2 linked regions of the Mus musculus genome follow. The protein of the gene in region 1 binds, or shares a complex with, the protein of each later gene. Links are inferred from orthologs where the notes say so. Each region holds a gene or a part of one and is shown in the gene's direction. Other genes may lie near its edges.

Region 1 (10,054 bases):
CCACCGAAAAAATGGACTCCGAATGACAGAAAGCTGAAGCTACCCCTGGCTCACCCACTATGACACTTGGTTCCATATTTTATACTTCTCTCTATGCACCACATGGACAATCTAGTTTTATATTAGGAGACCATGTTTTGCATATATGTACACAATCCCTTTCTGAATATAAGATCTTAGGGCATCCTGTTCTATCACTGTCACCTTTGTTCTTTGAGAAAGGGTCTCTGGACTCTAGAGCTAGGCTGGCAGCCAGAAAGTTTCAAACATCTTTTTCTTTGTGTCCACAGCTCTGGAGTTACAGGCACAAAGTTCATATCAGATCTTTAAATGTGTTGCTGGGAACTCAAACTCAAACCCTCGTGTTTACACCCTTACCTACTGAACTATCTCCCAAACCCCTCTTTTTAATTTTTTTTTTAAAAGACAGCTTTTAGCTGGATGGTGGAGCCACATACCTGCAATCCCAGCACTAGGGAGGCAGAGGCAGGAGTATCTCTGAAAGTTTCTGCCTGGTCCACAGAGTGAGTTCCAAGACAGCCAGGGCTACAGAGAGAAATGCTGCCTTGAAAAACCAGCATACTAGGCTTGCTGATGTGAGGCCCCTAACACATATACAGCAGAGGACGGCCAGGTCTGGGTTGTCAGAGAAGATTCACCTAACCCTCAAGAGACTGGAGGCCCCAGGGAGTGGAGTGGTTTGGTGAGGTGGTGGTTGGGGAGGTGGGGACATCCTTGTGGAGACAGGGGGTGAGGAGGAGGTATGGGATGGGGAACAGTCACAGGGTAGACCAGGAGTGGTATAAAATCTGGAGTGTTTAAAAAAAAAAAAAACCATTCTGAGTTCGAGGTCAGCCTGGTCTACAAAGTGAGTTCCAGGACAGTCAGGGCTACACAGAGATACCCTGTCTCAAAAAAAGAACAACAACAACAACAACAACAACAACAACAACAACAAAAGGAATAGAGAACATCTTAGGTCAAGAGAGACAAACAGCCGGGCGGTGGTGGCGCACGCCTTTAATCCCAGCACTTGGGAGGCAGAGGCAGGCGGATCTCTGGTTCGAGGCCAGCCTGGTCTACAAAGTGAGTTCCAGGACAGCCAAAGCTATACAGAGAAACCCTGTTTGAAAAAACAAAACAAAACAAAAAAAGAGGGACAAACAGCATCCCTCCCCCAGCCTGGGGAACTGCTAGTATCTATTACTCTAACTACCTCTCACCAAGCTAAATGCTTAGGTTCAACATAAGTAAACTACTGGGGCTAGAGAGAAGGCTTTAGTAGGTTTGATTCCCAGCAATATTGTGATGGCTCACAACCATCTGTAACTCCAATTCCAGAGAATCTAATCCCTTCGTCCAACCTCTTTAAGCCTTGCATACAGGTGGAGCACATGAATACAAACAAAATGTGCATGCACATACGGTCAAGTTAATATATCCATTTTTTTCCCAAATTACCAATGTCCAAGCTTGCCTGCAGGCATGGAGGCTGAAGAGATGGCTTGGTGCTGTGAGTGTTTGCTGCTCTTGCAGAGCACCCCAGTTAGATGAGTAGCTTAAAACTCCCTGTAACTCTTGTTCCCATGGAAACAATGACCTCTTCTGGCCATCATGGGCACCTGCACGCAGATGGCATATACTCACACAGATACTCAAAGCTACACAAAATAAAAATAAAAATAAAAATAAAGCAGGGCATGGTGGCACAGGCCTTTAATCCCAGCACTATGGAGGCAGAGTCGTGTGGATCTCTGAGTTCAAGGCCAGCCTGGTATTAAAATATTAAAGTCCAGCAATCAAAAGCCTCCCTTTGGTCACCTTAATTATCATGTCTAATCAAAACAAAGCAACTCATTCTATCACAGGTTTCTTATTTTACTTTTATAAACTGCCATTTGCCTAAGGACCATGCCTGTCTCCACTTTATCCAGAGGTAGTCACTTTGTCTGGAGCAAATATTTCTTTCCCCTCTCCCTTGTCTTCTATCCACACTCTTTGTCCCTCTGGAGCAAATAAATCTCTCCTTTGTGTTGGGAACTTGGTCCTGGTGTGTCCTGTGCAAATTCCAGTCTTTTCAAACAGAACATCAAAAGCAAAAATCTTGTACCTGTCAGTGAATGGTGGAGCACACCTTCAATCATAGAACTTCAGAGGCAGAGGCCAGAGGAGCTCTTTGGGTTCTAGGCTAGCTTAGTCTACATTAGTGATATTCTGTCTCAAGAATGACCAATCAACCAACCAACCAACCAACCAACCAACCAACCAACCAACCAATTAAGCCAACAAGCAAATTGCCCTTGACAACAGCTGCCAGGTAAACCATTTCCAACAGAGATCCCCAGGGCTCACGCATGGTAAAAAAGTTCCTGCAATGTTATAGAGAAGCTGAATGCTCAGTCATGGTGTGAAAACGTAATCCAGAACTCCAGCTAGCAACCTCAGCCTCTCCAGGTTGGTTTTGGATGGATGTCTGTAAGCTCCCAATTTCATGATTTCTGTTCTTTTACTTAGAAGCCTTCCCTGAAGAAACTCTCTGCTCTGCCCAGAACTCTGTCTGTTCGTAGTTGTCTTAAAGGGACTTCCTCAGGTAGTTTTGGCTGGATACTTGGATACTTGAGTACCTGATTTGATGGAAATTGATGTGCTTCTCTCTCTCTCTCTCTCTCTCTCTCTCTCACTCACTTTATAAAGTCACTCGTTCAAAATAAAAATTGTGGCTACTGTAGACCATTCTCTGGATTGTACAAAGCAGCTGTTGATATTTGTATACCCACTTCAGAGCAATGGTGCCAAGCACCTTTGCCCGCTGAGCCACTTTGCCAGCCCTACTTCAATTTTTTGGTCATGATGATTGAATCTGGGGCCTATGCATGCTAGGCAAGTTTTGAAACGATAGCTACAGCCTTGCCTCATTTTCTCTAATTAGCTGCTGCTTCTACAAGATGATTTGGGGTGGACGACTTTCTTTGTTTAGTGCTGTGGGTACAGACCCACACCCAGTATGCATAAGGCCCTGACTTTGCTTCTTGGCACTGAAAATAAATGGGGTGGGGGATATAATTCACTAATTTAGTGTACAACTTAGTAACTTCGGCACATTCACAAAGATATGCAGACTTCAATATGAATTCCAAAAAGCTTAAATCACATGCCCTGCCATACCCTCATTAATAAGCACTTCCTATTTTTTCTTGCCCCACTACCAACTAGTAATTGCTTTCAGTTTTTCTGTATTTGCAAGAAGTGTATGTGTTTTAATCAGGATCTTGGTAGGTAGCTCAGGCCTCAGTCTGGCACTGAACTCCCTATTCAGCCCAATCCTCGGCCTCTCAGGCTTTAAACTAGGATTACAAGCATTCGGCAATAGTCACAGCTAAGCGTCTTACATAGATGGGACCACATAATATATAGCCTTATGAACCTGCCCTTTCACAACCCGTCCTTTTGGTTGGGTCTGAGCCTCTGAAGGCTGAGTGGTCTCTGAAGCCATCTCCCTGGCCTGCTTTCTCTTGTTTTGGAGATTCTCAAGCTGCATTTGGTGTCAGGACATTATCATCTTGTATTGATCTTACACTACTGTGTGTACACAGCAAATTTGATTTACTCATTCATAGCCATATTTGGGCCGATCCACTCTTAACACATATACTCAAGGCAGAAAGTTAACACGTGAACAGCTTTTCACGTGTAAACCAAACCATCGTCTTTCACATTGGTACATTAGTTTCTCTTTTCAGGTTGAACAGTGACACCTAAGACTCCTCTTACATCACCGGACTGTTCTACTTTCTTCTTGGAAGCCACCGGCAGATGCATATTCCTATTGCAAAGGATAGAAGCAGTGCACGTTCGTGTGGCGACACTGCCCCGCGACTCTCCGGACAACTCTCGCAGGCAAATCCTGAGGGGCGGGGAAATGCAACCAATCCACGAATGTGTTCGGAAAGCGGGGCTCCGCAGTGGTTGATAAAGTATAATGACATACCCGCCATCCAATCCTCAAGCGAAGGGCTGGGCTACAGTCAGCTGGTGAAACCACCTGACCCGAGCCTGGAGCCGGAAACTACCTATCCGGCAGACTGCTTACACTGCACCTACGGCTGCGATGGTGAGTGTGGACGCATGCGCGGGTGTGCACGCCTGCGGTTCCGCGTCCCTGTTTTCCGAGCTTCTGTTGCCACCTTATGGCTTGCATTTCACTGTCACCTCCAGTCCACCCTGGGACCGAAAGGGAACAGAGATGGGAGGGAAGCGACAGGGAGGGCTGGAGAAGGAAGGCTCCGCTACCGGGTGTTCTGCAGCGGGGGAGTAGTCTAGATGGCACAAGGGGCGGGGCATAAGGGGACTGGAGTGGGAAGGGACATGAGGAGGGGTTGAGGGGCTAGGAAGGCCTCCTGGGTCACCTACATGACAAGTGGAAGAGCTCAGAGGTCCAATAGTGACCGTGGATGGAGACTCAGTGTTACAAGCCATTATGAGGGCCTTGGAAGGCTCATATCCAGGAGGGAGATGGGTTTGCAAGGCTGTCATGATTCTCCTTGTCTCTTTACCCTCTAGACTTCCGCACTGACCCAAGGGCTGGAGCGAATCCCAGACCAGCTTGGCTACCTGGTGCTGAGCGAAGGTGCAGTGCTGGCGGTGCGTTGTGGGAAAGCAAAGCGTGGGGTGGAGGGTGTGTGTGTGTGTGTGTGTGGGGGGGTCCTTTGGGGACACACAGCCCAGAAATCCCTTCAAATATTTCCAAGTTGTCTCTTTTTGTCTTCTCTGTGGTTCCTTGCTTGCCATATAGTAAGCTTTATGTAGTATTTGGATATGTGGTATAAAAGCTAATTACCAAAAGGTTGGGGAGGTAGCTTAGTACGGAGAATGAGTTGCCTAGCATGCACAGAGCCTTCTCTTCAATCCCAATACTGCATAAAACCAAACAGAGTGTAGTCCCAGCACTTGGAAGGTGGAAACAGTGGGTTAGATGTTCAGGCTTATCTTTGGCTACATATCAAATTCAATCACAACCTGGACTACATGTAACTCAGCCTCAAAAAACAACAAACAAACCATTACCCAAGTTATACAATTAGTTAGTTAGTTGTAGTTTGTTTTTATTTGTTAAATTCTTGTAGGGACGCACGTATGGGTGCCACAGGGGGTGAAAGTTCGAGGACACTTTGGAGTGAATTCTCCTGCCATGTGGGTCTTGAGGATTGAACTCAGGTCATCAGGCATTGAGGCAAGCACTTTTATGCTCTGATCCATTTTTGCCTGCCTCTAGAATTTTGGGGGGTGAGGTGGGGTGGGGTGGGGGCAAGACTTCTCTAGAGGCAGGAATTGAGCTACGCTGCAAGGGCAGAAAATTGTGAAAGAGAAAAGAACCCTCAGGGTTGGGAGCCGGGCATGCTTGCCTGAGTGTGCCAGTGCCCGAGTTGGCCGTGGTTTTGTGTTGAAACCATTTGAAGAGGAAGGATGCTGTGGTAAGACTGATACTGAACTTCCTGCGGCTAGCTTCAACATCTTTCGACAAATCTTGAGGGTTAAAGGGTTTTAAAACAACTGTGACTCACAGAAATGGTGTAGCACAAGTGTCCCAGGAGAGCCATATAAGCAGGAAACTGGACTGGTAGCAGTGAGGAGCAAGGACAGAAGACATTTTAGCTTATGTTTTTAGTGCCTGCACGGGTGTGTGCCCATGCATGTGCTGAAGCCATTGTAGGGCATTAGAGACCCACTCTCACCACTCTCTCTGCCTTATTCCTTAAGGCAGGGTCTCTGAACCCGTACCTAGACTGGCGGCCTTGAGCAAGCCTCAGCAGTCCACATGGCTGTACACCCACAGTGCTGGGATTCCAGGTGTGAGTGTGGTCATTCCTGACGGATTTGAACTCAAGTCCTCTTGCTTGTACAGCAAAAACTCTTATCCACTGAGCCACCCCCACAGCCCAGAGATAATTACTAGGTAAAGTACTTCTACATGTACTCTACCTTTCTGAAGTACTTATCCAGTAGGACTCTGAACAGGGGAAACCAGAAAAATACTATGGTACCTGAACAAATAAGACATCAAGAAAGGAAGCTGACCAAGGAGGTAGCTAAGGAGAATTTTGATGGCCTGACTGTAGACACCGAGTGAGATGGAATGCTATCGGTTGTAGTACATTTATTATGTAGGCACTGTTATGTTTTCATTGTTTTCTCATGAGACTTTCACAAGCGCAGAATATAGGCCCAGTATACAGCTGGAGATACCGAGAGCAAAAGGAACTAAATCTAGTTAAGGACCCATTTAGAAGCGGTGGGAAGAGGATGTTGAAACAGTCTGTTCTACTGTCCAGAGGACGTCTGGACTACTGTCTTGTTATTTGCCCAAGGGTTAGCCAGAGGGAAAACTTTAAAGACAAAGTGGGTGTTTCTGCTTCATAGCCTACAGACAGGACAAGTGGGAAGACTGAGTAACAGGTAGAACCTTCAAAGACTGAGCAGTTAGCTCAGTGATATAACATCTGCCTAAAATCCTTCGTGAGGGGCTGTGGGCGTGGCTCAGTAGTAAAACACTTGCCCAGGAGTCTCCCACTGAGGCGCTGGGGGTGTGGCTCAGTGGTAGAGCCCCTGCCTAGAATCCCCCAGTGAGGGGCTGGGGTGTGGCTCAGTGGTAGAGCCCCTGCCTAGAATCTCCCACATGAGGGACTGGGGACCTGATCACTTGGTGATCATACTCTAGGTTTTGACCCCTCACATGGCTATCAAATGAAGCCTGGCATTTCAGAATGAGAAACAAGATGGCACAAGGAAAGACAGCACCATCATAAAGGGGTTGTAGGTGGTATTTTTCTGAAGCTGGGTAATTTGGGACTACGGGCAAGTATAAAGGGAGATCATAAGTATAGGAGGCAGAGGTCCTGTGCCTTGAATTTGTTCCTAACTCTGATGTCTGTCTTTTGCTCCTACCCTCCTTCATCCACACACAGTCATCTGGGGACCTTGAGAACGATGAGCAAGCAGCCAGTGCCATCTCGGAGTTGGTCAGCACAGCCTGTGGCTTCCAGTTGCACCATGGCACGAACATCCCTTTCAAACGCCTGTCTGGTGAGCTCCTGCCTTTGGTGGGGGGGTTTCTTTTAGCGGCCTCACTGCTCAGGGAAGGAATTCCTGGCTCCATTCCACCAACTCCCACTTCCTCCTGTAGTCCCTGGTTCAACTACTGCTTTCATACTAGGTCCCTCTAGGATGAGTACAGAGCAATAAGGACAAGGGGTTGCTTTGTCCTATGCCAATTCTTTTTTTTTTTTTTTTTTTTGTGACCCTCCTTGGTGACCACTGTACCCACTAACTCCTGCTCCCTTCCCTCTGCAGTGGTCTTTGGTGAACACACGCTGCTGGTGACTGTGTCAGGACAGAGGGTGTTTGTAGTGAAGAGGCAGAACCGAGGTCGTGAACCTATTGATGTCTGAGCTATAAAAGGCACGGGCTGGAGAAGAAGCCTGCCTCTGGGGCCTGTCCCCGGGGTGTGGGGGTGGGGAAGCATACCACCTTCTGCTGTCCTTGCTGGAGTTGGGCTTGTGCTCACTACCTCCTTCCTGACCCCCCACCTGAGCGAGGCACCAGGCTTAAGAGACTTCTACGCTAAGGGACTAGGGGAACTATGACTAGGGGGACCCCTTTTCTTCCCTTCTGCCTAATAAACACTAGTCCAACCTGTCTAGGGCTCAGGATGTGTGCACAGAATGGTTTGTCTGGGTGGGGGTGAGGTTACACCTTGTGCCTATCATCGACTTTCTAGGGAGACAGCTATACCTCAGTCAGTGGGCCAGGATCACCACCAGGCATCATAAAACTGACAACTGGAGACAGGTGCGATGGTGCACATCTGTAAGTAAAACTAGGAACCAGAGAAGCATACATACATAGGAAGGCAGCTGTTTGCAAACTGAAGACCATCTCCCTCGTGGTCAACACACAGACAAACTCATACTCCCTCCCAAACAGCTTTTAATAGTTTTACTTCAGCTGGAAGATGTAGTCAGAGAATAAGTTACAGGAACAGACAAAAACAGAAAACAAAAACAGAACTTAAAGTGCTTCAGGCTGCCAACGTAAACATGAGGGGCAGAAAGAGGCCATCCAACCCCTGAGACAGGAGAGTCATTGTCCTGGGTCCCTTTACCACTACCACCCTCTAATCTCAGCCCTGCGGGTGAGTGCAAAGGAACAGCAGCGGCAGTGGCAGGGAGGCTTGAACACGAGTGAGAGAGGATACTCTGTAAACTGGACGAAGGACAGGACAAGGGAGCTCCCGCAGCCCTTGCCCTGCTGGGGTGGGGCCAGCCCTCCCCTCGCGCACCCCCCCCCCCCCGAACTTATGGAATACTGTTGTCTGAGCTGCAGCCACACTGTGATTTCACAGCTTCTGCCCTCATCCCTCACCAGCAGACACAGACAGGCAGCCCTGCAAGGCCTCTCTGCCCACAGTGGGAGGTACAGCCTAGGAACAAGGGACCCTCTGGGGCTTAGGGTTTCTGGCGTGTCCTGTCCGGGGTTGAGCTAGCAAACGGTGCTACTTGACGGGCTCCACCACCAGGACTTTACACTCACGCTTGGCAATCTTATCAAGAGAAAGCACAGCCTTGTCGGGGGGCAGGTAGAGGGGACGGCCGACGGGAGAGGCCACAGGGGGTGTGATGGCCCTGCGTTCCATCACACTGCCTGACCTGGAAGAAGACAGAGGCTGTGGGCTGGCTCTGTGAGAGTATAGCATCCCACTAAGTGGCCTGCTCCTGACCCCAACTCCCAACTCTTGGTCAGACTGATAGCAATCCTAGTCCCTTACCTCATGAGGTGGCTACGGGAAGGCTGCTGGTGGGAGAAAGATTGAGAACGGCCCAGGCTGGCCTGGTGTCTCTCCACCAGGTCTCGGACAGCAGGACTGCTGGGGCTGCTCTTTCGGGACAGGGGCCGGGCTTCAGGCGGAGGGTGGGACACGCTGGCAGTGAACTGCAGCTTCAGTTTCATGTGCTGGCTCAGCTGGATAGGAAGATGCGGACCTCAGACCCACCCTTCCCTGTGCCCAGCCTTCTAGTGCTACCTAAGACGTTAGCTAACCCCTCTAGAAGCAAGAAGCCTCGACTATTCTACCCAACACTGGGCCCACCTCAAAGAGCCCCGTCCTCAGGGCCTGGAAGGCCACACTGAAGGTAAGCGCGCTGCCCTTCCGGGAGAAGCCAAGATTATTGAGGGGTGTGTGACAGACGATGGAGTCTAGGGCTGCCTGCATGGCCCGGCGCTCCTCCTCACACAGCTGCTTTCCTGGGGACAGAAACACATGCTCATCAACACTGGAAAGCTTGCTTCAGCTCCCACAAGTCTTTATCAGCACATGGAGTGTTTAATTGGCAAAGTGCTTTGCCCGGAGTAAACTGAGTAAATGTTATCTTTTGCCGAGGGTTACAGATAACAACGGTTAATGCTGGGTGCTGTGGTCTGTGCTAACCCAGATGGTGTCTGTTAACTGTTAATATGCATAACAAGCCATGAGATGTTACTTCGTAGTTTTAGAGAGGACAGAAGCTCAGAGAGATGAAGGAACTTTCTCAAGATCACAGAGCTAGTAAGCGTGTGTGTGTGTGTGTGTGTGTGTGTGGTGTGTGTGTGTGTGTGTGTGTGTACACGTGTGTGTGTGTCCACTGCCTACCTCGAGTCTCTGTCTGTGATCCTGGATGACTAGCCAGGTACCCAGGAGAGCCAGCCAGGTACTGCAGGTCACCTATTAAGGTAGGGCTGGCACTACTTGGAAGCTGTTCTCACTGTCCTGCCCTTTCCTTTCCCTGTCCCTCCCAGGGGATAAGGTCTCAGCCTGGCAGGTGACCCACCAGCCTGTGCATGTTCCGGGGTCCACACAAGCCTCACAGCAAGGAAGTCTTGGAGGTTGTTGAGCAGCGTGTAGGTGACAGTGAAACGCTCGTAGGTCCGAACAGGGGACTCACAAGAAGCAGTCATCACAAAGCAGGGGCGGTCTAGGCGGACACTGGGCAGGCTAGGAGCAGTGAGAGAGGAGGCTGGATGT
Region 2 (10,088 bases), on another chromosome or scaffold:
CATGATCATGTGGCGCATCAGATCAGGGTTTGACATCATATCCTGGACCAAGGGGTTCTCCATGATCTGCGACAGCATCTCAGGATTGGACATGAGCTGTCTCTGCATCTGTTGCTGCAGCTCCATAAAGTTGGCGGAGCCCAGGCCCAGGCTGCCCAGTCCCAGGATGCCTCCGAAGCCAGCTGTGGGAAGGAGCAGGGTCAGAGTCTCCCTCTCAGACCCTTCCAAGATCCAGCAGACTTTCCAAGATAGACCCTAATTGCTTCTGACATGTCCCTCCCTCTTCAGTCACTCCCACAACTCCAGGAAAGAGACCTCTATAAAGGCAGGGGGCAAGCTAAGCATAGCATTGAACAGAAGTAGACCCACCTTTCTCCATTCCCCTCTTTACCCAGGACTCCCCTCCCCCAACGCCATCTTTCCTTTTGTTCCTGAACTTGAGTCCATCTCTGAAATCATGGAAACCATCATAAGGGCTGGTGAGATGGCTCAGTGGGTACGAGCACCCGACTGCTCTTCCAAAGGTCCAGAGTTCAAATCCCAGCAACCACATGGTGGCTCACAACCATCTGTAAGGAGATCTGACTCCCTCTTCTGGAGTGTCTGAAGACAGCTACAGTGTACTTACATATAATAAATAAATAAATCTTTAAAAAAAAAAAAAAAAACCATCATAAACCGATCATTCATTCCCCACCCCAGCTTGGCTTAAGTTCCAACATCTGGAAGAGTGACTACGGTCATGGGACTAGGACTAGGGATCAGGGACCATTCTTCTTCTTTATCTTTGTGCACCCCACTCCCCTGGCCAATACAAAATTATGCTCTCCCCCGCTAAAGGCTTACAGAGGATCGATGCAGTAGCACTTGAGGGCCCCTCTGCAGCCACTGGAGAGGGCCCCCCTCCACTGCCAGCATCTGAAGTTGTATTGCCAGAGCTGCAGGGCTGGACAGGGGCGGCGGCAGGTGAGGCAGGCGTGGTGGAGGGTGCAGAGGCAGAGTCAGGAGTGGATGGAGGAGAAGCAGCAGCAGTCACTGGATCTTGAGCCCTGAGGACAAAGAGTAGGGAAACCTGGCTGGAGTGTGCACAAGTGACAAGGTGGCCTTGGACTGACAGCTCAAGCCACCTCCTAAGCAGCCTTGTTCCACCCTTACCCCAGGCTAGCAGGATGCTGGGGAGAGGGATGGTATCAGTTATCAACAGTCTCTAAGGCAACCTGGGAGTACTGACAGGCTCCCCCAGAGGTAAGACCTTATCCATCTGTGCCAGGCCTGGCTGCTGAACAGGTGAGAAAGAATGGGAGGTGAGGTCACAATCAGGAGCAAGGGCAGCTCCTGTCTGTACTTACTTCTGAGGGGTTTTGATGACTAGGTGGACTGTGAGCCCATCCTTGATGCCGTGCTGGCTCAGGGTGTCCCCATCCTTGAGGATCTTGCCTGCGAAGATCAGGACCAGCTGATCCTGCTGAGCCTTAAACCTCCGGGAGATCTCCTCCTTGAACTGTGGTCAAGAGGCAGAGATCACTGCAGAGGCCAACTGCGCCCCGCTGCAAGACTTGACCCTCAGTTCTGCCCCTCTAGCTACAAGAATCCATTCAATTAGTTCCATGACACAGTATCCCAACCCTGGAAAGCCCCTGCTGCTATCCACAACAGCAGCTTCTGTCCCACCACCCAATTCTCTGAAAGTGATACCTCACAGAGGCATGGGCAGCCCTCCCCATCCTAAATCCTTCAACTAGCCTTGGGCTCAGGCTGTCTCTCTTCAGCCTTCTCTCTGCTTTTCAGTCCCAGCTTCCTCATCACTATAACAGATAATCTAGAGTATTATTGAGATCTATTGAGGAATCTAGTGTGTTAGTTACCATCTCTACTTAATTAAATTAATTAAATTTAATTAATTAATTAATTAATTAAGAGACAGGGTCTCTGCATGTAGCTCTTGCTGTCCTGGAACTTTCTATGTAGACCTCGAACTCAGATAGATCCACCTGCTTCTACCTCCCCAGGGCTGGGAATTTAAAGATAAGGATCAGAGAAGAGGTAATGTATCCGGGGATATAGGAACTCAGGTCTGGACATCAATGTCTTCATCAGACACATTCTCAATAAGAGCTGTTTTATAATTCAGCTTTTCCCAGGGGACTTAAAATTCTCTAATGAGAGAGCAGCAGTGGTACCAACGGCTACACTGGGGCGAGTTAAATTTTCTAGATTCTATCAGCTCCTCCAAAACACAACACAACACAACACATATTCTAACTATAAACAGTGCACTTGCTAAGCAAAAGATCCCTCTCTTCCAACCAGATGGCCTATTCTAAGCCCCGCCTATGTGCAATTCTGGAGCAGCTTCAAGCAGTGGGGAACACAGGCAATACTCCCTCACTCATTCTATATTATTTTGTTGAGCACCTACTGCGCTCAGCAAATCCTGTAGAGCAGAAAACTGAACTACACAACCGTTTCGATTTGCGACAAGGAGGCTCTGTGGAGAGAGAGAGAGAGGGAGAGAGAGAGAGAGAGGGCACCACCACCACGCGACACTCCCGGGAGAGCATAGCCGCAGCTCGCTCGGGCCGCACGGTGCCTTAGCGCCTGGAACCTCTACCAGTGACCCTGGAGCACACTCTCCTCAAGCCTAGGCTCCAAATGGAGCCCGCAAGCAAGGTGTCCCTTCCTCAAGCTCCCCCACCACGCCCCCAGCCCGGGTAGCGCGGCCAAACCGGCCCCTACCCGCGCCACGCTCCCCGGACTAGCCCTGGCAGGGCGCCCCCTACCCGCTTCTCCCGCCTGTATGCCCCTGGATTCCGCCCCGGCCGGGGGCCCGTCCCCGGCGCCAGGCCGACCCCGAGGTCTCCCTCTCTGCTCTGACCCCCTCGGTGCGCTGCTCCCGCCCTCCTGTCTCCTCCCAGCCAGATACTACCTCCTTGACCGAGGCTTGATCGCAGATCACGATCTCCTCCTTGTCCTTGGGGGTCTTGACGGTGACCCGAATCTGGGGCCTCGTCTCAGCCCCACTCGGCTCCGCCATGCCGCCGCCCGGCCGCCCGCCAGCCCGTCCGGCTCCTCCTCCTCCTCCTCCCGGCCCGCCCGGCCCGGCCCGACTCCGGGGCCTCCAACTCCCCCTCCCGCCCCTCCCCAAGGCTCCGCCGCCCACTCCGGACAGCCGCAGCCACAGCGCCCCGGGCGGCCTGGGGGAGCACTGCAGCTGGGGCGGCCCAGGCCCGAGCAGGGTGCGCAGCTGGCCCGGGCCGGACAGCGCGGAGGGCGGGAGATTCAGGGCCGCCTGCGGCTCCCTCCTGTTCGGACAAAGGACTTTCGTTGTCGCCGTCTTATCTCCGTTCCCTGGGGTCACTTGGTTTTCTTGAGAGGCCTGGGTTCGTTCCTGGTTCAGGACGTCCTTAAGACCTCTGCGGATTCGAGCAGTCGTGGCCTCCGGGGAACCGCCCCGAGGGAGCCATTAAGGACGGTTTCAGAGACCTGGAGTTTGCCTACGTGGCTTCTCTGAGCCTTGGGAGTAAAAGAGCAAGACCCCACAGAATTGTGACTAGCGTACAATATTGCTTTAAAAAATGGTCAAGGATGTGCCTAACAGATAGATTTATTATTAGATTGCGATTGACCAGTAGGCACGAAGGCGTCCTTCGCGTGGAAGATGTTAAAAGTATTTCCACCGTTGCCACTGTCCTTGCGCTCCCGCTCTCCCCCCCCCCAACTCCACAACCACATGGTCCCACTGGAACGCTGAACTATGGTTCCCAGAATTCCTTGAGCGATCACATGAAACTACGATTCCCAGAGGCCCTCGCGCGGGGCGGGAATTGGGCCAGAGCCTCAGTAGATGGGCCCGGTGACTACAACTCCCAGGCGCCTCGTAGCTGGGCTCCTGGGCCACCGGAAGCGACTGAGGGAGAGCAAGAGGCTGCGACTGTAGGGGTGTGTTGGTGCAGGTCAGGGTTAAGAGACGCAGGCATGCTGCGTCCCAAGGCTTTGACGCAGGTGCTAAGCCAAGCCAACACTGGAGGAGTCCAGAGCACCCTGTGAGTGAACAAGAACCCAAGCAGCGAGCGCTGGAATGGGGCGGCGCGCGGCTGTCTGCAGTAGGGGTAGGGAAGAGCCCTACGCCGGGAGGTGGCTAATGTTGCAAGCTGCAGCTTCGGAAACCCTGCTTGAGGGCTTCCTCGGAAAGGGAAATGGACAGTTGATTAGCGTGTTCCTGGATTCTTGCTTCCTAAAAGCGCCAGTAGCTGGAATTGGGATAGGAACTCAGACCTTTCACTCTTCCTGAGTTTGTTGATATCCTTCCCATTCTTGCCAGGCTGCTGAATAATGAGGGATCGCTGCTGGCCTACTCCGGTTATGGGGACACAGATGCCCGGGTCACTGCGGCCATCGCCAGTAACATCTGGGCCGCGTATGATAGGAACGGGAACCAAGCGTTTAATGAAGACAGTCTCAAATTTATCCTGATGGACTGCATGGTATGGAGTAAAGTAGGCTGACTTCGAACTTGCAATGATTATCCTGCTTCTGCCACCTCAACCCTGAGATTGCAGGTGTGCACCATCGCACCTTGCCAAATAAAACATAGATATTAAAAAAGGAAGTGAGAGTACGGTGCTGGCCTATGTGAGGGTCCATCTCAGTGAAAAGGAGACATTTGTTAAAAGATCCGAAGGACGATAGGAAAGGGGAAGAGAATTAAGCCATACAGCAATCATTTGGGGAAATATTTCTAACAGTGCTTGCTATGGTGGCTTATGCCTCTAGTTCAGTACACGAGAGACTGAGGCAGGCTCTCTTCGAGTATTTGTTTTCTTTCTTTCTTTTTCTTTTTTTGTTTTTCGAGACAGGGCTTCTCTGTGTAGTCCTGGCTGTCCTGGAACTCACTCTATAGAATCAGGCTGAACTCTGAAATCTGCTAGCTTCTGCCTCCCAAGTCCTGGGACTAAAGGTGTACACCACCACCGAGCAGACTTTGCAAGTATTTCTGACAACAGCAATTGCAAAGGGCCGAGGGCGGAGTGAGGCTTGGACAAAGATCAGTAAAGATGGAGCATCACAGAATGGGAAAAGGTTGTCGGGAGAAAGGGCTAAAGTCCTCTGAAGAGTGGCAGTGTGCAGAACTGAAAAAGGTGTTTGCAGTGGGGAAGGCCCCTTGGGAAGCTCTTCACTGTCATGCTGGCAGCCCATTCTTTACACCCACTCTCATTCACACTGGGTACTGAGTCCAGGGCTGGTGTCACTGCAGCCTAGCTAAGCTCTAAGAAATGCTTTTTAAGGGACAGATGTGGAGCTCAGTGGTAGAGCAGTTGCCTAGAGTGTTTGGGATTCTAGAACCCATTCCAAGAAACACAGTTTTTATTTTTGAGTCAGAGGCTAGTATACACACTGGAGCAAGTTCTGTGAAACATCACTTCTCTCACATAGATGTGCCATGACATTTTTATTGTTATTTTCAAATGTTGACCCACCCTAATTGATCCCCATTTTGAAAAGTTACACCATAGGAAAAGAAGAGACATAAGTTGGGTTGTGTGTGTGTGGGGGGGAGTTGTTTTTACCTTTTTAAGGTTTGTTTTATTCTGTATGTATGAGTTGCTTTGCCCAGGTGGTATATATGTGCCCCATGTGCATGCATGATGCCCCCAAGGAGGCTGAAAGAAGGCATTGGAGCCCCTGAACTGCTGTTATAGATGATTGTGAGCACAGTGTTGGTGTTGGGATTCGAACTCAAGCCTACTGCCAGAGCAGCATACGAGTTGGGTTCCTGGTCCTGACCTGCTGAGACAGTTCTCGGCATTAGAGAAGAGAACCCCAAGTTCTGGAAGACTTGGTTTCCCAGGATAGCTTGGTTAGCACATGGCTCAGCTGAGGCTGGAATCCAGTTTCAGACCCCCATGTCTTAAATGCTGGGCAGAGCTCCTAGCTGAACTTCCTGCTCTGCTAAGCTTGGGAGACAATGTCACTAGGACCAGAGGAACCCTGGGGAAGGCAGGAACTAAGGATGTCAAGCAGAATGCCCCAAAGTATCATGTCCTTCCCACCAGGAGGGCCGTGTAGCCATTACGAGGGTGGCCAACCTTCTGCTATGTATGTATGCCAAGGAGACCGTAGGCTTCGGAATGCTCAAGGCTAAGGTGAGTATATTCCTCTGTTATAAACTTTCTGGGCTGTAACATCTATGCATGCCCTTGCTCTGAATAAAGGACATGGAGACTTTAATTAGGTTTATTATGAGCTTTGGGCACTATAGCTGGGCAGATTCTCAACTATTCTAACCCAACCATATTGGCTTGGCCTATGTCCATGACCCATTACCTGTCCATCTTAGTCATGTCCTGGTACCTGCTTCCTCATCTTTGTCCAGCTGGCAACTCCTCTCCCAGAATTCCTATCTCTTCCTGGAAGTCCCACCTCCTACTTCCTGCCTTTGCTTTTTAATAAGCTGATCAAAAGGTGAGCGAGAGTGTTTACAAAATATGTAGCCAAATGAAACCAAATGAACCAAAGTCCAGTCTGCATTAAACTCTGCTGGCACAGAAATCGGCATTTGAATAATAATACAAAGATGATCTTTACATAGGGCGCAATATCATCATCCCAGCACTGATCCAGCCTTAGTTCCTGTTCACTGTGTTCCTTACATGTCCCTCCCCTCTCTGGAGTTCTCATAGCTCCTCACTCCATGTCTAGGATGGGCTAAAGAGCAGTGGGGGTGGGCTGGGGGGGGAGTTGGCTGCTAAGTGTGGCGTGGGGAGCCAGCGTGGTTCAGGGATCCGTCTAAGCATAAGCGATGCATGGACTGACTGTGCTCCTGCCTCCTTGCAGGCCCAGGCCCTGGTGCAGTACCTGGAGGAACCCCTCACCCAAGTAGCAGCATCATAACAGCGTGATGGAGGCTGGAGTAGAAAAGGGATGATGATCTGGAGGGAGGGGCGGGGCCCTAGAAACGCCATATCGGGCGAGGTACAGGAAGGGGGGGTTGCTTTTTTCTGAATAAATTTTCAACTCTTACCTGTGTCTCACCTGCTTTCTTGGGAGGAAAGTGTGGAGTGGTTTCCTCGGGAGGATTCCCCTCTCCTGCAAAGGTGGGCTCTCTCATTCCCCATCACCAAATCTCTCAGTGGTTCTTGGCAGGGCTGCCCAGTGCCCTTGGCTTCTCCAGTGCTGTGTCTCATCATACTCCTAATTGCTTTTTTTTTCCATTAATTTATATGTTTATTCTATTTACATTGCAAAAAGCTCCCTTCCCATCCTCCCAGAATTGCTTTTCTTTAAACAATTTGTTTTTTGGTTTTTGTGAGACAGGATTTCTCTGTATAACCCTGGCTGTCCTGGAATTCACTTTGTAGACCAGGCTGGCCTCCAACTCAGAAATCCGTCTGCCTCTGCCTCCCAAGTGCTGGGATTAAAGGTATGTGCCACTACACCCGTGTGAAAAAATTGTTTAGGTTATTTTATGTACATGAGTGTTTTGACTGTTTGTGTGTCTGCACTTGTGCCTGTAAAGGGCATCAGATATCCCTGAAACCAGAGTTAGCAGGTGGCTGTGAGAGAGCTATGCTGAGAACCTAACCAGGGTCTTCTGCAAGAGCAGCGGTGCCCTTAGCTGCTGAGCTCACTCAACCCTCAGAGCAGAATCTCACCCGCCCGTTTTGCAGCACCTGGGACTGATCTAAAGGAGCAAATGCCTGTTCTTGCTGGACACAGAAAATAGAGGTCACCCTTTCTAATTTAAGGAGTGCTCCTGCTCCTTTCCCTACCTTTTCATGATCCTCTCTGCAGCATTTGTTTTAATTTAAAAAAAAAAAAATCGTGTGTGAGCACAGCAGACTCCTCTGCATTGCCTTTACTTATTTACTGTTTGCGTACATGACGCGTGGATAGGTGTGTCCCACATACAAGCATGGCAGTCAGAAGATTGACCCCCAGAAGGCCTCAAGGTCTTCATCTCAGATCCTGCACCCATATTCACCGCATCCAGCTCTTTCTGCCCTTGTCTCTGAGATCCGTCCACGAAGGTAGTAAATCTGTTTATTGTATGTTAGGAAGGGACCCATCTGGGCAGGTGGCGTCCCAGCTCCACCTGTGTGAGAAATGCTGCCCCTCCCTGGCCTGGGGCTGTTAAGGAGGGGCCGGATGCTGCGTGCTGGTACAGCTCCCAAAACTCTGCATTGTGGGGAGATGCTGTGCCCAGCTTGCATTTCTTGCCCTGATAGCCCTTCCCCTGATGCCCCCCGGTATGTGTCCTTACCAAAACCTGAGATGGGAAAGCTGGAGGCCGGTACGTTTCTGCCCCACCCCGTGTCTACTTCAGCCCAGTGGCAGCTCTCCTTCTTAGAACCCCCAAAACCCAGCAATGTACACTCGGGCTCGCCGCAGCCTCACCCACTGTTACCTCTGTGACCAGGCCCTCTTATTTGGGGGAGTGTGGGCCAAGAGCAGACACCTAACCTGTTTAACCTGTCTGACGTCATCATCGCTCCACCCACCTGTGCCCCAGGTGCCCAGCGGAGCTGGCTAGCTCTTCCTGTTCTCAGCTTCCGTCCTCTCAGCTCCCACAGAGTAGCTAAACGTGCCAGAGCTGAGCCTCTGGGGCTCTTCCTGGCCTCAACTGAGCCCTCTTGTCCTTTTCCCCCAATGAGAGAGGAGCCAGGTGCAGGTCTCTTAAAAGCTGAGAGTTGAGGCCATTTAAACAATAAACAGACTCGTGACCTCTGCACCTGCAAACGTCTTCACTCTCCATGCTGAGCCAAGATGGGGAATCGAACAGATGAAGATTATAACTTTGTCTTTAAGGGTAAGTTGGGGTTCTCGAAAAGGGAGACTCCAGAGAGGGTGGGAGAGAGGCTATTTCCAGAGGACACAGGGTCTCCCTTTTATTTTTATCTCTACCTTGGACATTCTCCCCCCACCCGTCCCCAAGCTCAGCATTCCTTCTCCGAGAGAAAGGCCATGAGGAGTAGGCATGTCTGGTTACAGGTACAGATGTTCTGGAGTTGTATGCTCTCTATAAAGATGTGGATAATTTCTCCCTATTGCCAAATTATTCTTCCCTGCCCAGTCTCTAATAGATGCTCAAATCCCTGGGAATGTCAGTGAAGCCCAAGAGATGGAAGTCGGACTTCAGAAAGGACTTTCAGAGTAGAGGGAGAAGCAAGCCTATTTAAGAGGAAGAAAGTCATCTCTACCAGCAGATGCGTAGGAAGGGGTGCGCCCCCCCCCCCACCCCCCACCCCCCACCCCCCCCCCCCCGCAGTCATTGTTGATCTAGGTAGTTGACACATAGGGAAGTTGATACTTAGGTAGTTGATACACCCGGACAATGCATTGACTCTCCAGCCATCTAATGGATTCCACAGGACTCCTGGGCTGCAGCCTGTGCCATGCATGGCCTCTTGTACCACACAATCTTTGGACCCAGATACTAGGCACAGGGTTTGCTGGGCTGTTTCTGACAGTGCACATGCATCCTGCCTGCTTGCTTTCCCTCAGCTCCTGGTGTTTGGTCTCTCTGTGGGTCTCTAGCTCTCCTTCTTGAAGGCTAGGTGGCCTGGTGGCACTCTCCTTTCCTTTGCACCACACCCACAGCCTCTCCCAACCTCAGCCCCACCCTGGCCCAAGCTGGGGAGCCTGTACTCCTGGCATTTTCCCAAGGAATCTGGTGGGGCTGTGGCCATGGTATAGTAACTCCCGTTTGTTGAGGCCCTACTGGGTGCCACTCTCACACACTCATCTTACAGCCCTGGTGTGAGCTATCACCGTGAGTGGTTGCATGGCCTCTCTGCCACTTACCAGTTAGCTCAGATGGGGTCCCAGTGCCACTTCTGAGAAGTGTCGGGTATTCTGTAATGATTATAAGCCACCACATGTGAAGATAAGCAGGAGGAAGCAGGACTAGGCAGAGGATAGTCACCTGCCTGCCATGAGAGAGAGCTCAGAGCTACTCAGGGAACAGGGAGCTTTGGAGTAGCCTTGGAACACTGTCCCTGGGGTACCACATGGAGCTGTCCAGAGAGGTTTGACATCCCCATGTCCGTGAGGGCTCACCTGTGAGCTGTCACTGCTACTGCTTTCCTCCC

Evidence for each region. Proteins that work in one complex are often made in the same cells at the same time.
Region 2: Lamtor4 (region 1) and Lamtor2 share a complex: the UniProt entries of both Homo sapiens proteins name them as parts of the ragulator complex. The link is inferred for Mus musculus from reciprocal best matches to the Homo sapiens genes LAMTOR4 and LAMTOR2.

The regions. Positions count from the first base shown.
Region 1 is NC_000071.6:138,251,693-138,261,746, forward strand, and holds Lamtor4 (ragulator complex protein LAMTOR4), read left to right. Parts: upstream 1-3,789; 5' UTR 3,790-4,108; coding exon 4,109-4,111; intron 4,112-4,560; coding exon 4,561-4,641; intron 4,642-6,962; coding exon 6,963-7,080; intron 7,081-7,347; coding exon 7,348-7,445; 3' UTR 7,446-7,703; downstream 7,704-10,054. Other genes in the region: Map11 (microtubule-associated protein 11), read right to left, coding at 8,549-8,702, 8,822-9,015, 9,143-9,297, 9,861-10,024. UniProt on the Homo sapiens protein: As part of the Ragulator complex it is involved in amino acid sensing and activation of mTORC1, a signaling complex promoting cell growth in response to growth factors, energy levels, and amino acids.
Region 2 is NC_000069.6:88,546,751-88,556,838, reverse strand, and holds Lamtor2 (ragulator complex protein LAMTOR2), read left to right. Parts: upstream 1-3,887; 5' UTR 3,888-3,975; coding exon 3,976-4,043; exon of another isoform or gene 4,044-4,109; intron 4,110-4,321; coding exon 4,322-4,484; coding exon of another isoform or gene 4,485-4,505; exon of another isoform or gene 4,506-4,609; intron 4,610-6,053; coding exon 6,054-6,143; intron 6,144-6,834; coding exon 6,835-6,891; 3' UTR 6,892-7,020; downstream 7,021-10,088. Other genes in the region: Ubqln4 (ubiquilin-4), read right to left, coding at 1-182, 847-1,049, 1,350-1,501, 2,927-3,034; Rab25 (ras-related protein Rab-25), read left to right, coding at 8,764-8,806. UniProt on the Homo sapiens protein: As part of the Ragulator complex it is involved in amino acid sensing and activation of mTORC1, a signaling complex promoting cell growth in response to growth factors, energy levels, and amino acids.